Linked DNA regions of Notamacropus eugenii. The protein of the gene in region 2 interacts with the protein of the main gene of each other region in a biochemical or structural test. Links are inferred from orthologs where the notes say so. Each region holds a gene or a part of one and is shown on either strand. Other genes may lie near its edges.

Region 1 (7,268 bases), about 89 Mb from region 2:
GGGCTTCTATGTACTCCTTTGTAAAGAGAGGCAGTTGGACATGGAGATCTCTAAGATCCCTCCCAACTCTAAATCTCCATCCTGTCAGTGAAATGGCAATGGATGCTCACATGCAGAGGCAGAGTGGCCTATGGTGCTGTGAGTACTGGCACTGATAATAATAGATGCCACTCCCCGGACCCACAACAGTGAGGTCAACAACATGAGGTCAGATCTGTGAAGCATTTTGCAAACCTTAAAACACTATTTAAATACTAGCTATTATCATTATTTATTATTATTATTATCAATATTATCTCAAGACCTCAGGAACTATGAGTAAGAAATGAAATAAAAGATATCATTACAAAAATATATGACCAAAAAAGGAGGGTCCGAGATATAACAAGGGGGAAGAAGGGGAATTAGCATTTATTAAGCACTTACTATGTTCTAGGCATTGTGCTAAGTGCTTTATATAATCTCATTAGATAGACCTTCACAACAAACCTGTGAGGTAGATGCTTATTATCCCCGTTTTACAGCCAAGGAAACTGAGGCAAAGGTTAAGTGGATTTAGAGCTGGCAGGGACCTTAGAAATGATGTAATCCAACTCTCATTTTATCAGTGAGAAAACCACAATCTGGAAGTTATTTGCCTGAGGTCACACAGATAGCAAGCACCAGAGTTAGAACTTGAATTCAGGTCTTCTAACTCTAAATTCAGGGTTCATTTCCCATTCCAGCTGCTTGTTCTTAAACCACATAGTTAGAGGCGGATAAGTGTCCCAGAGGGTTGGAATGCTGAATCTGGAGTCAGAAGGACATGAGTTCAATTCCAGCCTCAGATACTTAGTTGCTGTGCAGGTCACTTAACCTCATTTGCATCAGTTTCCTCATCTGTAAAGTAGATATAATAAAAATTTAACAACCAGGGTTTTGTGGGAGGATCAAATGAGATATATTTGTAAAGCACTTAGCATAATACTGGGACACATCATAAGTATTTAAAAACATATTTTTCTTTTGTGTAATGGGAAGCATATTAGAGCTGGTGTCAGATGACCATTCTGGTTCTTTACTTGTTATGCAACTCTGGACAACACATGTGAGCCTCATTTTCCACTTCTGAAAAATAAAGATAATAAAGATATCTTTATTTTTATTAAAATATTTTTTAAAAAATATTTTATTTTAAAATAAATTTAAATTTTATTATTAAATACTTGAAACATTTATTAAAATATTTATTAGAGATATAATATCTTTAATAAAGATATTACTTTGCAAGCTTGCCATAAGCCAAGTACTTCATAAATCTTAGACTGCTAGGTAAAATGTATTATTTTAGACATAACCCTAACACCCTGCAAGGTCTTTAGTTTCTGAATTCTCAGAGACCATCTATAGTCAGCTTAGTTTTGTTCTTGTATGCTCTTATTATATTTTAATTCTTTGAAAGCTGATGATCAGTGTGTTCTATAAATGGTAACTTTATCATTATCCAAAGATCTGGCTATTCTTGGATTAACTAGAACACTCTGAGTAAATCAGATAATAGAGAGACTACCCTAATCTCCAACTGGTATTTTCCACGTGGACAAGGCTGTGCTAGGTAGTCACGTTAAGAAGGAGAGCATAGCTTTGACTGAAAAGAAATCTAAGAGCCTCCTAGAATGCCTGGCACTTGTGGGTACTGGCAATTACAGAGATCTTAAGATGTCTAGATGGCCTCTAAAGGACAAACCCTCCACACATTCACAGTAGATTGCACACTTGGCACCATGCCAGGCTATAAACAGCCCATATGAACCAGATGAAATGAGAGCTGTCTTCTACCAGTGTCTTTTCCCAACTAACAGACTTTTATGAGAAAAAACTCTTTGAGTTAATCTCTACTCATGTAGATTTGAGCCAAATTATGAGATTGAAAATGACTAAACAACAATAACAAAATGAGATAGAACAAGACTCATTTTGTATTGTTTTCCCACCTTATCAATGGATAGAGCAAAGGTCAGTGTCTAGTTCTGGAGGACCAAGGACCAGTGAATAAGACACACGGGTAATCCCCAAATCTCACTACATCTCATTATATTGCGTAAATCTTTTGCTCAACCTTTTGCCAGAACCCATGGGCAAACTACTGGATGTCAACTCCTTGCTTTTATTTTTCCCTACATGGCCTCCAGTGGAAGCCTTACCCCAAGATGAGGGAATCAAAGACTGCCAAAGGGATAAGAGATTTGGGGAAAACAACTCCTGGAAAACCAAAGACAGCTCACACATGAGTGCTGTACATCATTCCTATGTGGGGCCATGTTTCTGAATGTTGCTTCTTGGTCAGGTGGCTCGTTCTGTGACCCAATTGGTACTGTAGAGACATATTTGGACTGAAATAGATGTGAGATCAAGGCACCACTAGATATTAATGTACTCTACTCACATGCTCCCACCACAGATTCCCCTGAGTAAACACACACATACACATACATCCCTAAACATACACACAAATGTCCATATACTCATTTGGACAACTTTTGCAGGCATGTTGTCCACTTACCTCTAGGACAATTTCTTTCATTTGGAACTGCTTTTGGGAGACTTTATCAGAAGACACTGGCTCATGGTAGAAGAGGCAGAGCAGGTCATATTTCTTCAGAAGTTGCTTGTAGTTCTTCTCATTGAGACTTATTACCCGGTCCTTCCCATCATAACTGGGGAAGTTCAGTCCCTCTTCTGTCCTACAAGAAGGCAGCAGGTAAAAACCCACTAGTAAAAGAGAAGCTACCTTCATTGAGGATGACCCTCTCTGCCTGTCCTTCCCTAGAAATAATCCAGTGCAGTAAAGAAGAAAAGGCTACTTGGGTCGTGTTGGAGCCAAGGGCTAGAACCAGTTTATATGGAATTTGCCTTTCTTTTGCCCTTCTGTTGTTTGATCCAAACTCTTCCAGCCCAGTTAACTTTGCAGTTATGGGACTCAGGACAAAGAGCCCCAGACGGTCTCACACACATGTGCGTGTACAAAGAGAGACAGGCAGGGGAAGCTGTCAAGCCAAAGCCGAGATACCTTACATAGCTTGGCCCAACTCCTGTGTTGTGAGGAACTCCATTTTTAGGATGCAGTTGTTTCAGGCTAAAAATAAACCCTGCAATGAATAAAAAGGACAGATATGACACTATTGAGGGATTCGCTGACACTATGGAGGTGGGTGGAGGGGGGAGAAGAGAATGCAGAAATCAGTGAGATGGCTATAAAGGACACAGAAAGAAGAGAGGAGAAAAGAGATAAGGTTCAAGGGCTCCAATTAGCTAATGGATATTTTGAAAAAGGATCACAATATACCCCACAGGTATGGAATCTTTGGGTTGGACAGGGTCTTGAAAGGTAATTCAGTTAATTAGTAGAATTATAGAATTTAGAGTTGGAAAGGACCTTAGATCTCATCTAATTCTACTCCTTCATTTTACAAATGAAGAAACTGAGACCCCTAGAGGTTCAATGACTTGCCTAAGACCACACTAGTAGTAGGTGTGGGGGAGGAAAAGGAATTCAGTTTCACAAACTCTACAGCTGGTACCTTGACAGTGTCCTTGTATAGTTTCTTCTGGCCACCATGTGATCACCTGCCCCAACTATTTTATGGAGAACTTGCATGGGGCAGGCGATCACATGGTGGCCAGAAGAAACTATACAAGGACACTCTCAAGGTCTCTCTCAAGAACTTTGGATTTGACTGTGCAACATGGGAGACACTGGCACAGGACCACTTAGCATGGCATGCCCACATAAGAAAAGGTGCTGTGCTCTTTGAGCAAAGCAGAATTGAGACAGCACAAAGTAAATATAGGATGCACAAATTTGGGATATCCACCCCAAATATTCATGTGGACTCTCTGTGCCCAACTTGTGTTAGAGCATTCTGAGCTTGTATTGGTGTGATCAGCCACAGTAGGACACACTGAAATTTCACTTTACAATAGTGATGTCATTTTGGTCATCTTCGAAGATGAAGGACAACAATCAACCGACAGCCAGTACTCTTGCACAACAGTCTCCTAATTTTACCTTCAAGCAACTCATGCACAGGTCCTCATTCCAGCTACCATTGGTGTATTTTGTGCAACGATGGAAAGAAAGTGGGAAGAATTCTTTGTAAATGTTTTACCAGTGCTTTAAAAAAAACAGCATTGACTTCAAATCCCATTAACTGTCTTACCCCAGTAGATTGTTCCTTTTTTTATTTTAAACAAAGGAGTACAGTTGGGAAAATCCAACTGCCAAATGGAATATGTTAGACAATGTATGCCTTATTATACAATCATGGTGCCCCCACTTGACTACTGAGAGAAGAAATTCATGTTTGAGCATCAGTCATCTGGAGTCACAATGAGGCATTATATTGATCTGAATATTGATGTCCCTTTAGAATTGTTTTCTTCACATTATTGTAGTCATTGTATATATTTTATCAGGGGTTTTACAGATTTTGCTTCATAGCAATTCAAACAAGTTGTTCTCATCCCTCAGTCTTTATTTCATATGAGACAATAATATTCTATTATATTCAAATGCCATATCACAATTTGTTCAGTCATTTCCAAACCTATGACCACCTACCTTGTTTCCAGTTTTTTTTTCTGGTTTGCTTGTTTATTTTGCTGCTTCCCCAAAAGTACTGATATTACTGTCTTGATATATATATATATATATATATATATATATATATATATATATATATATATATATATATATATATATATATATATATATATATATATATATATATGTGTGTGTGTGTGTGTGTGTATATGTATATATATATATATATATACATATATACTTATGTATGACTTTTCCCTCCATCTTTGACCTACTTAGGGTATATGACCAGTAACATGGCTCTAAATTGTATTCCACGTTGGACCAGTTCACAATTATTGCTAGTATTTTGGGGAAAGCTTGCAATGTACTCTGAGCTCTTCATCTATAGATTTATTGCTTCCCACTGTATCACTTATATATTATATCATATCATATAGTATAACATCATACAATATAATGTAGAAGTTATATTATATATTATATCACATATTATATATTCCTTATCCTTAAATACTTTGACCACATAATGAGAAGATGGGACTCATTGGAAAAGACTCTGATGTTGGGGAAGATTGAAGGCAAAAGGAAAAGGGGATGACAAAGAATGAGAAGTTAGTGTCATGGAAACAATGAACATGAGCTTAAACAGATCTGGAAGTGTCTGGAAGTGTCCAGAAGGACCTGGATTGTGATGGCCCAGGGGGTCATGAAGAGTTAATCGCAGCTGAAAGACTGAAGAACAACGGTTTCCCCACTGCCCTCCAGCCTGGGCTTTGCTAGGACACCAAATGAAAACACTTACTGCTCCTCCTCATGAAGAGGGGGAGGATATTCCTCTTCTAAGATGTGGAATGATGAAAATGGGGGATATTCTTTCCCTCTCACTCCTATATATGTATGTATTGACTCACATGCCTGGGGGCTTCATCTGTAACCTTCTGCTATCTTGGGGACATTCAAACCATCCAATATTACATGTGACTCTACACTGACTTAATGAATAAACCAATAAGAGCAACACCACAAAATGAGATTCCACAGAAACTGTCAGAAACTCTGAGTACTGTCTTACTCCCTTATTGCCAGAAATTCCATATTTCTATCCCACTTCTGCCACTGACTCTGAGCAAAGCATATAAGATCTGTCTCTCTGTCTTAATTTCCTTATGTGTAAAATGGGAGAGAAAGACTAGATAATCTCTAAAGTGCTTTTCAGGTCTAAAGCTATGGTTTTGTGAGCCCTCATTCTGTCATTTTAGCCCATTTCCTGTTTTTCTCTTGTTCTCAGAGATAATGAACTCATCATCTGCAAAGTAATATTTCATATATATTTATAATATATGCATACACATATATACATCTGTAGATATATGTATGTATATATGTGTGTGCATATGTACACATATACATATATATGAAAGGTTGCATTACTATTACTGATACACACACACACACATACCTATTTATACTGTACCTGTAATTACATTAGCTTAGGGAACTCAAGATTAAAAAAATTCCTCTGCCAATGCAGGTTTGTAATTATATCACAACTTGGAGCTGAAGAGATTTACCTGGGGCATTGAGAGCTGCCCAAGATCACACAGTCAGTGTATGTGCAAGTCAGGCCTTAAACTCAGGTCTTCCTTGTTTATTCTCTCATTAAGTCTCTTCCTGGATTTAAAAAGCAGTCTAAGGTATGAAGAAGCTCTGAAATATTACTAAAATTTCAGAAATTCTCTTTAATTGCTTCATCAGTCCCCACCCCAGCCTCTTTTGGGGGAAAAATTTGTTCCTTTCAATTAGCTCCCCATGTTTCAGTCTCAAACTGTGCACTTAATAGACTTGAAATAAAATCATGGTAAATGACTATATTTTCATAGCAACTGCAAATAGTATAGAAACACAGACAGGAATTAAAGTACAGCATGTTGGAACGTGATTTGCAGTTTTAGGAGGATGTTGAATTTCTTTCTACTCCTTCCTCCTCCCTTTCCTCATCCCCTCTTTTCCTCAGAGGGAGATCCAGGAAGAAACAGGTTAATGCTGGACAAGTTAAACTTCCTTGGGCAGTGTTCTGGGAAAGTAAGTAGACAGAGGAGACTGTGGACTTCACTTCAGTCCACTTTGGATGCCAAACTCATCTGATCTTATTAGTACTTTGCTTCTGTTTCTGATCTGATCTGGTCTACATTCCCTCCTGTTTTCAAATGCAAGTGTGCTAGGCCCTGACCTCTTTATCTGCCAGTTCAGCAGGAGAACTCAAATTTTTGGCTTCTCTCCATTTTGACCATATGGCTTCCCCCCAGAAGGAAGGTTTTTCCAAGACCACCCAAAACTATAAAGGATCCAAGCCTTTCTTGTATGGTGTGTGGTCTTCCCTATCTTGGTAATGATGACTCTGGGGAAAGAGTCACACACATACACACACACTCACACACACATACACACACACACTGCTTCTTTATTGATTGATATTAGCTGCTCATGTACATGAAGAAACAATTGTTCACATTGTTTTTTTAAAAAATTTATTTAATTTTAGTTTTTAACATTCATTTCCACAAGATTTTGAGTTACACATTTTCTCCCCATCTCTCCCCTCCTCCCACCTCAAGACACTCAGCATTCTGATTACCCCTTCCCCCAATCTGCCCTCCCTTCTATCACACCCCTCCCTTCCCTT
Region 2 (8,178 bases):
GTGATTATGGGCCAGTCTCTTGATCTCTCTGGGTTTCAGTTTTCTCATACAGAAATAAAGATGAGGGTTGAAGGGGCAGGCATGGTAGACTAGATTGTCTCTGAGGTTTCTCCTAGCTCTAAAATTCCATAATCCTTTTCCTTGATATGTAGCAAATGAAGGAGAAGGCCATTTGATAAATAGTTTAGCTACAGCAAAGTGTGACATATTGTTTAAGTTAAGCAGAAGTGCCCGAGAGCAAAGGCAAAGAAAGTGTGTTATAATACATAGCTTAATAGTTGGAGAGGGCACCTTGAACACCCTTATGCATTAACTCTAACACCTATCTTCAGGGGCAAGCTCTCTCTAGCAGACAGGCTAATGGCATTTGACTATCACTGAAATGAAAGACATAAAAGGAGAGAGAAAAAGCTGGAAATGACGATGCAGGGATTTAAGATCCTATGAAGCTGGAGTAGTCAGGGCATAGATAATATTCTGAGCTCTGGCTGAGGGTCATTTAAGAAATTAGATTCTAAATGTTGATTACTGTATATACGACATACAAAAAGGAAGGATATCATCCCCACTGCTCCTAAAATGCTACACTTGGGGACAGTAGGAACTAGCATTTTAGCATGTAACCAAGACTTCACTTGCAGAAAGCTTCCACAAACAATTGCAAAGATCTACTGAGCCTGCTCCAAGTACAAGTAAGGAATGGTTTATTTTAGCCAGTTGGTATTATAATTCTGCTGAAGGTCAATGCTATTCAGAGGTAAAGAACTAAGGACACGTGTCTCTAAATACCATGCACAGGGCTGGAGTTGTGGTTATCATGTAGAGCCTTCTCCAAGAATAAACCAAATAGAACGTGAGTCGTATATCAAACAGATTAATAAGCATTTATTCAACTCTTCCAAAATGCTGGACTTCAGGTTGGGAAAACCTGGGCTCAAATCTCCCCTTAGATACATACTAGCTTTATGACTCAGTTTTCTCATATATAAAATGTGGATTATAATGTATGTAGTAACTAAAAAAGATTTTTTTAATGCTCAGAGGAAATGACATGTAAAGGGTTTTTGCAAATTTTAAATTCCTGTATAAATTGCTTTATAAATGTTGGTCCTCAAACAATAGAAGAAACAAAATAACACAAAACTGTTCACATTCAGCCTCCAAATTCTAAATGGTAGATTGAATAATGTTAAATTTTGGTGTCTTTTAAATTACAAGGCATAAAACATTTGGAAAATGCAAATGATTATTTCTTAGATTCTCATGACAATTTCCAGCTACAAGCTTGCAAAGAAAAATAAGGAACTGAAAATTTGACCCTGGCCTAATAACCTCACAAAGAGCTAAGACCACAAACCTCCTATTTCACCAGCTCCTCTGGCCAACACTCCAATCTGGAAACTGTCGAGCACTAAGGACCACCTGTTTCATTTTCTTCTAACTGCCAGAAGCAAATTAGAGATAGATGAGCTCTGAACTCTGAAACTTAAAAGCTATATTAAATGTGTTCTCATTTTTCTAAAGAATGGAGGTGACGTCTTTCCTTTAGCAGATTTCTTCCTTATCAGTGGGCAAGGAATTTGGATTTTTGGAAACTAAACTATGTCTCCTCTCTCTCTCTCTCTCTCTCTCTCTCTCTCTCTCTCTCTCTCTCTCTCTCTCTCTCTCTCTCTCTCTCTCTCCCTCCCTCTCCCTCTCCTCTCTCTCTCTCTCATTGATCTAAAGTAATTTTGTTTTACTATAAAAATATTCAGCTGAATGTTCAACGGAATATAAAATATACCAAGACTATTTTAGACTAAGCATATTTTCATGTTTGTGTGACTACACAAGGTATTCCGAAAGCCTTAGTATAATTTTAAACAATTAATGATTTTAAACTATTAATATTTTAAATTGCACTAAGACTTTTGTATATATTTATATACACATATGTAGGAAGATACATACATATTTTTATATATGATAAGCTACAAGAAAAGAAGTAAAATGCTAATCTTGAATTAACTCAGCTGTGTATATGTACATATATGTATATGTACACACGTGTCTGTGTGTGTTTAAAAACAAGATATCTTCAAGGATAAATATTAAGCCTAATTGTTTAAGTTTAGCATAAACTCCACCCACTCTCATGGAAGGTTCATACTCAGGCACCTACTCTCATATTACAGATACAGAGCTATTTATAGAATTGGGGGCCAATAAGTTTTTTAACCAGTAGGCCCACCGGCCAGCCCTTAACAGTTCCCCCACAACAAAGCAGACACGTATAGAACCCTTCCCATCTCACCCCCACAACAAAGTCCCCTGAGGCCCCAGCCCCCTACACAATCACAAACAACATACACCACGCTGTGTATTCCAGTCTGAAAATGGCAGGGGCCTCTTTCCATCTGTTGTACATCAATTCAGTGCATCTGTCATATTCAAGATCTCCCTACAGTTGTGTTAGAAAATGGTTACAGTACCTTCTGCTGTGATCTCAGTCATGGTGGCAGGGGTGAGTGTTAGTTTAAAAAAGTGCTGTTAAGATGGCAGTCTGAAGAATGCTTCAGGGTCCTGGAGCTGGCCCAGCCAGAGGGTGCACTGTTCACTTGTGGGGGGCCCCTGCTTTTTTCCTTGCTGTTCTAGCTGCTTCTTGGGGCTTCGTTGAACTTTGGGTCTCTTCTGCACAGTTCTCCCCCCGGAAACAACCTGAACCCTCTTCTAGGCAGTGACTTTAACTCATGCAAAAAGTATCAGCTTCGAACAAAAATAGCCCTGCCTGCCTCCCTCGGACTTGGCACTGCTGAGACCCCCCCACCCCCACCTCCACACACATCCACACACCCGGGAGCACAAGCACACCAGCTCTCCAGTGCCAAAGGGGAGCAACCAAGCCGAGAGATGGAAAGATCCCGGGCACCAACAGATGCACACGTGCTCACACACAGGCAAAATAACTAGGAAGAAGCAGGCAAACCCCCACAGCAATCCCAGGATAATTACAGATCTTTGGGGTCTGTGTCACAGAAAACAAAATGTGTTGAGAGTAACCTTATCCACAGGAGCTCAGGTTTATTCTTAGTGCACTCAATGCCGGGTACATTCTCCCTTTCCTTATTTGGGCTGGGGAGGGTCCCTTGCTGTCTCCCGGAGCCAAAGGGGAGGACAGACTTAGGTAATTCTCTCCAATGTGAATCTCTGTCTGTCCCAGCTCCCCTTGGTGACTCTACTTATTAATGCAAGGTCACATTTGTCAGCACAGCTACTAAGACCTGTAGCTTCCTCAAGTTAATAGTTTCACATGGGAGAAAGTGGCTGTCAAATACTGAAAGAAAATAATAATCATAACCCACAGCTTTTGAATTTACTAGACCATGAGTAGAGAAACTGCTACCTCCCTCAAGGCCACATGTGGCCCTCTAGGTCCTCAAGTATGGCCCATTGACTGAATCCAAACTTCACAGAACAAAAGTTTGGATTCAGTCAAAGGGCTGATGTCGGTTTGTTCTGTGAAGTTTGGATTCAGTCAAAAGACTATACTTGAGGACCTAGAGGGCCACATGTGGCCTTGAGGCCACAGATTCCACACCCTTGTACCATACAATACTGGGGGACCCATGCATTCTAAACATTTATGTGCAATAAAAAACTTTGCAGAAAACTTAAATCTCTTGCAGTCATCTTGGTGGAGGGAAGGTGGAGAGAGGGTTATAGTCACAAGTAATTCTCAAACCTCATCTTACAAAGTAATGTCAAGTTTCTTCTCTATAGCCCTCGTCCTCTCTCAAGATGATCTGGGATGCTTAATAATTAGTCAAATTAGCTGATTGTATTTCACCGTCCCACCTAGGGTAAGGTGATAATGAACAAAGAAATATTCTAATGATTGATAGTAGAGGTGGGAGATGGAGGCTCAAAGGCCATTGATAATTCATAAATTCATAAACAGTTCCTAAATTCTTAAGTCTTGACAGTTCCTATGTATGAGTTCCATCTTCCTAACCAAGACAACTTTAGGTTAGCTAACCTTTTTATCTTCAACTTGTTGGTTTTTTCTCCTAGAATATGAATATTTTCCATATTTGTTGTAGTCTCTACATTATGGAAACCTCCAGTGGGATTCACATACTTACTACTTGCAGATAATGGTGGGTATCACAGTTTGGCTCACTAGAAGAATCAGAGCACTCTGAAGGCAAATGCAGGCTAGAAGGTCAGTGTTTGATACTAGGGCAATTAGTTCCTTCCCAGTTTATGCCCCCAAGACCCTTTCCATTTAATTTCACTCAAATATTTTTAATCTTTGGACAAAATAGGTCTTAATGTTTAAATCCATCAAGCATTTTAATTGCTTTTCAGTACAGTCAGTCATCTCAGCCAATAAAAACAGAGAACAGGGTCATTTGTTCCCCAGAGTGAAAATCACAAAATCACTGATTCAGGACTGGCAGGGTCCTTAGAGGGAAAGACAAGGGAATGAGCATTTATGCCATATGTACTATGTGCCAGGCACTATGCTAAGGACTTCATAAATATTACCTTAGAGGCCGCTGAATCCCACCTCCTCATTCGATAGAAAAAGAAACCAAGGCTAAAAGAGATTAAATAACTTTCTTAGGGTCAAACACCGATTATGTGTTTGAGACAGGATTGTACAACAGGTCTTTGACTCTCAGCCTAGCCCTATCCAATGTGCCACCTAGCTGCTTTAAATAAAATGGCTAGTCAATTACTGATGCCAAATTTCCCCTGTGCCACAACCTCCCCCCCTTGAAAAATGACTTCATGTCAGCCAGTCTTGTCAAACATAAATTTTAAATTTGTACTAATCAAGGTTTTAAGTTCTACATCTGAGAAATACTACCTGAGTGACCTCTATAAAACATAGAAGAATTAACCATTTATTACCAATCACTAACCATTCATTAGGTACACTATGACCATAGCATTGTGTTGGTCTCTGGGGATATAATAAAATAGAGTCAGACTCAAGGAGCTTATATTTTATGATAAGTAGAGAGAGATTCCACACTGGAACCAACAAAGAATAATGAAACTTCATTAGTATTCCTCTCCCCCATTCATTCATGAAGTATATGTGAGAAAAGGAGGATGAAAACAAAACGTTTGTTACTGCTGTTCAGTCGTTTCAGTCAGGTGTGACTCTTCATGACCCCCATTTGGGATTTTCTTGGCAAAGATATTGGAGTGGTTTGCCATTTCCTTCGCCAGATCCAAAAAAAAAAAAAAATTAGTTGATTTAAAAAAAAAACAAAAACTTTGTGCTGCTTTAAAACCTTTTTTTTTTTTTTAGCCTCCCCAAAAAAACAAAAAAGAGCTTGTGAATGTTTCTTTCATTGAGAATATAATGTATTTCTCATAAGAGCCCTATTCAGGTTTTGGCAAATACCATTTTGTTGCTAAACTGGATCACTTGATACCTTCAGAAAACTAAAAGCTGACTATCTTGTCAATGAAAGCATCAATCAGTTAGCAAACAAGCATCTGCTAAGCATTTCAGTAGGTGTGTATAATGTCTTTCTCCTGGAAACTCAAATAATGAATATACCTTCCCAGGGAATAAGCTGCTTAGTTTTGAGACACTCATTAAACCCTTAAACCTTTAGGGTCGATTTATGGGTTGTTGTCTTAAGTGGCAGTGGATTGAGGTCATTAAACTGAGACTAGATGGCTACTTGTGAGGGATATTATAGAGGGAGTTCTGCAGGTATGGGTTGGACTAGATAGTCTCCAAGGTCTTTTATAATTTTTTATAAGTGTCCTGGAAGACTTAAATAAGGAGTCAAGAGATTTGGTTACGTATCCTAGCTCTTCAACATATTAGGTACGCGGTCATGGGCAAGCCATTTTACTTTTCTAAGGCTATTTTTTTGTCTGTAAACTAGGAATGATATTTACATTATCTCCCTCAGAGGATGCCTTTGAAGTATGGCCTTTAAAGGGCCATGTAATTGAGAACCATCATTCAGTCTAAAATGTGAACAATTCTCAAGATCTAGTTAGTTTTCATCTTTCCAATCAGTCCACCAAGCAGCATTTATTGTGTCCCTACTATGTGTTGGCAGTGTGCTAGTTACAAAGAAAGAAGGAAAGAAAGAAAGAGAGAGAGAGAGAGAGAGAGAGAGAGAGAGAGAGAGAGAGAGAGAGAGAGGAAGGAAGGAAGGAAGGAAGGAAGGAAGGAAGGAAGGAAGGAAGGAAGGAAGGAAGGAAGGAAGGAAGGAAGAAAGGAAGGAAGAAAGAAAGAAAGAGAAAGAGACCTTTTGTTTTCAAGGAGAACGTACTTATTATAAAATTACATTTCTAGTTCCTACAATGAATGAATGAATGAAGCATATATTAAGCACTATGTTCAAAGTCCCAGAGATATGAAAAGAAAAGAAAGATATTTCCCATTTTCAAAGAGCTCACCCATTTGGAAGACTTTCATTTCAAATCAAATGCAAAAATCTCGTGGTACCTAGGGTGTAATGACAAAGCAGTACCAACAAAGATATCCTTGTTTTTACAAAATGAAAAATGTATGAAATAATGGAATTCTATAACTTTCCATATAGGTCTAGAATTGAATTTAGGCCTGTAGTATCCTATTCAATGGTTTAAATCATGTTATTTCTCTGATCCTATTATACCCATCATTCAACATTTATTAAGAATTTAATCTGTGCAGTGTAGTAGGCTAGAGACTGGAGCATATACAAATATAAGTAGGAAATGGCCTGTATCTTTAAGAAATTTAGGGTCTAGAAGGGGTCATAAGACATGTGCAGAATCTTGTAGTAGATTATGTATAATTAGAATATGTATAACACTATAAAGTTCTCCTTTGGGTGTAGTTCCTGAGGGAAGAATCCTTTCCAACTGGAGAAACCAGAGAAATTTTTATAAAGAGAGGATAGAAGATCTTGGATAATGATTTATAACCAGCCTTACCGCTGAATTGTCTCAGTATGAGACTGTCATTACTGAAAGTAAATTTCTATTTCTCCCCAATTTATCTTTCATCCTCTGTCTTTCCAGAACAAGCAGTAAAGAGGATTTTCTCAATATTTTTTTCAGTTTTTTTATTAATAATATTTTTTATGAATTATATATCAAGATAATTTTTAGCATTCATTTTTACAAGATTGAGTTCCAAATTTTGCTCCCTCTCCTCCCCTCTTCCTAAAAAAGGTAGAGAATTTGATATAGGTTATACATGTGTTGTCAGGTAAAACATATTTCTATATTAGTCACAGTTGTGAAAGAAGAAACAGATTAAAAGAAAAAAACACAAGAAAGAAGAAAGTGAAAGAAATATGCTTTGATTTGCATTGAGGCCATCATTTCTTTATCTGAATGTGGATAGCATTTTCCTTCATGAGTCCTTTGTATTTGTCTTGGATCATCGTGTTGCTGAATAAAACTGAGTCATTCATAGTTGGTCATCATACAATGCTGTTGATATTGTGCGCAGCGTCTTCCTGGCTCTGCTCATTTCACTTTGCATCAGTTTGTACAAGTCTTTCCAAGTTTTTCTGATATGTTCCTGTTCATCATTTCTTATTGCACAATAGTATCCCATTCCATTCATATATACATTCCTACAATACACATTCATATGTTCAGCCATTCCCCAGTTGATGGGCATCTCCTCAGTTTCTAATGTTTTGCTACCACAAAAAAGGGCTGCCATAAATATTTTTGTACATGTAGTTCCTTTCCCCTTTTTGATGATCTCTTTGGGATAAAAGCCTAGTAGTGGTTTTATAGAATCAAAGGGTATGTGCAGTTTGGTTACCCTTTGTGCATAGTTCCAAATTGCTCTCCATAATGGTTGAATCAGTTCACAGCTCCACCAGAAGTGCATTAGTGTCCCAATTTTCCTACATCCTCTCCAACATTTATCATTTTCCTGTTTTTGGTCATTTTAGCCAATTTGATAGATGTGAGGCAGAATCTCAGAGTTGTTTTAATTCACATTTCTTTAATCAAAAATGATTTAGAGTACTTCTTCATATGCCTATAGATAGCTCTGATTTCTTCATCTGCCATATCTTTTAACCATTTCTCAATTGAGGAATGGCTTGTATTCATATAAATTCAGTTCTCTATATATTTCAGAAATGAGGCCTTTATCAGAGACATTTGCTGTAAAGATTGTTTCCCAGCTTTCTGTTTTCCTTCTAATCT

Evidence for each region.
Region 1: the proteins of TRDN (region 2) and CASQ2 form a complex in vitro, tested with the Homo sapiens proteins (3 studies listed by BioGRID). The link is inferred for Notamacropus eugenii from reciprocal best matches to the Homo sapiens genes TRDN and CASQ2.

What each region holds. Positions count from the first base shown.
Region 1 is NC_092873.1:295,289,347-295,296,614, forward strand, and holds the start of CASQ2 (calsequestrin-2), read right to left. Parts: upstream 3,040-7,268; 5' UTR 2,777-3,039; coding exon 2,543-2,776; intron 1-2,542. UniProt on the Homo sapiens protein: Calsequestrin is a high-capacity, moderate affinity, calcium-binding protein and thus acts as an internal calcium store in muscle. Calcium ions are bound by clusters of acidic residues at the protein surface, especially at the interface between subunits.
Region 2 is NC_092873.1:206,686,662-206,694,839, forward strand, and holds the start of TRDN (triadin), read right to left. Parts: upstream 3,072-8,178; 5' UTR 2,494-3,071; coding exon 2,472-2,493; intron 1-2,471. UniProt on the Homo sapiens protein: Contributes to the regulation of lumenal Ca2+ release via the sarcoplasmic reticulum calcium release channels RYR1 and RYR2, a key step in triggering skeletal and heart muscle contraction.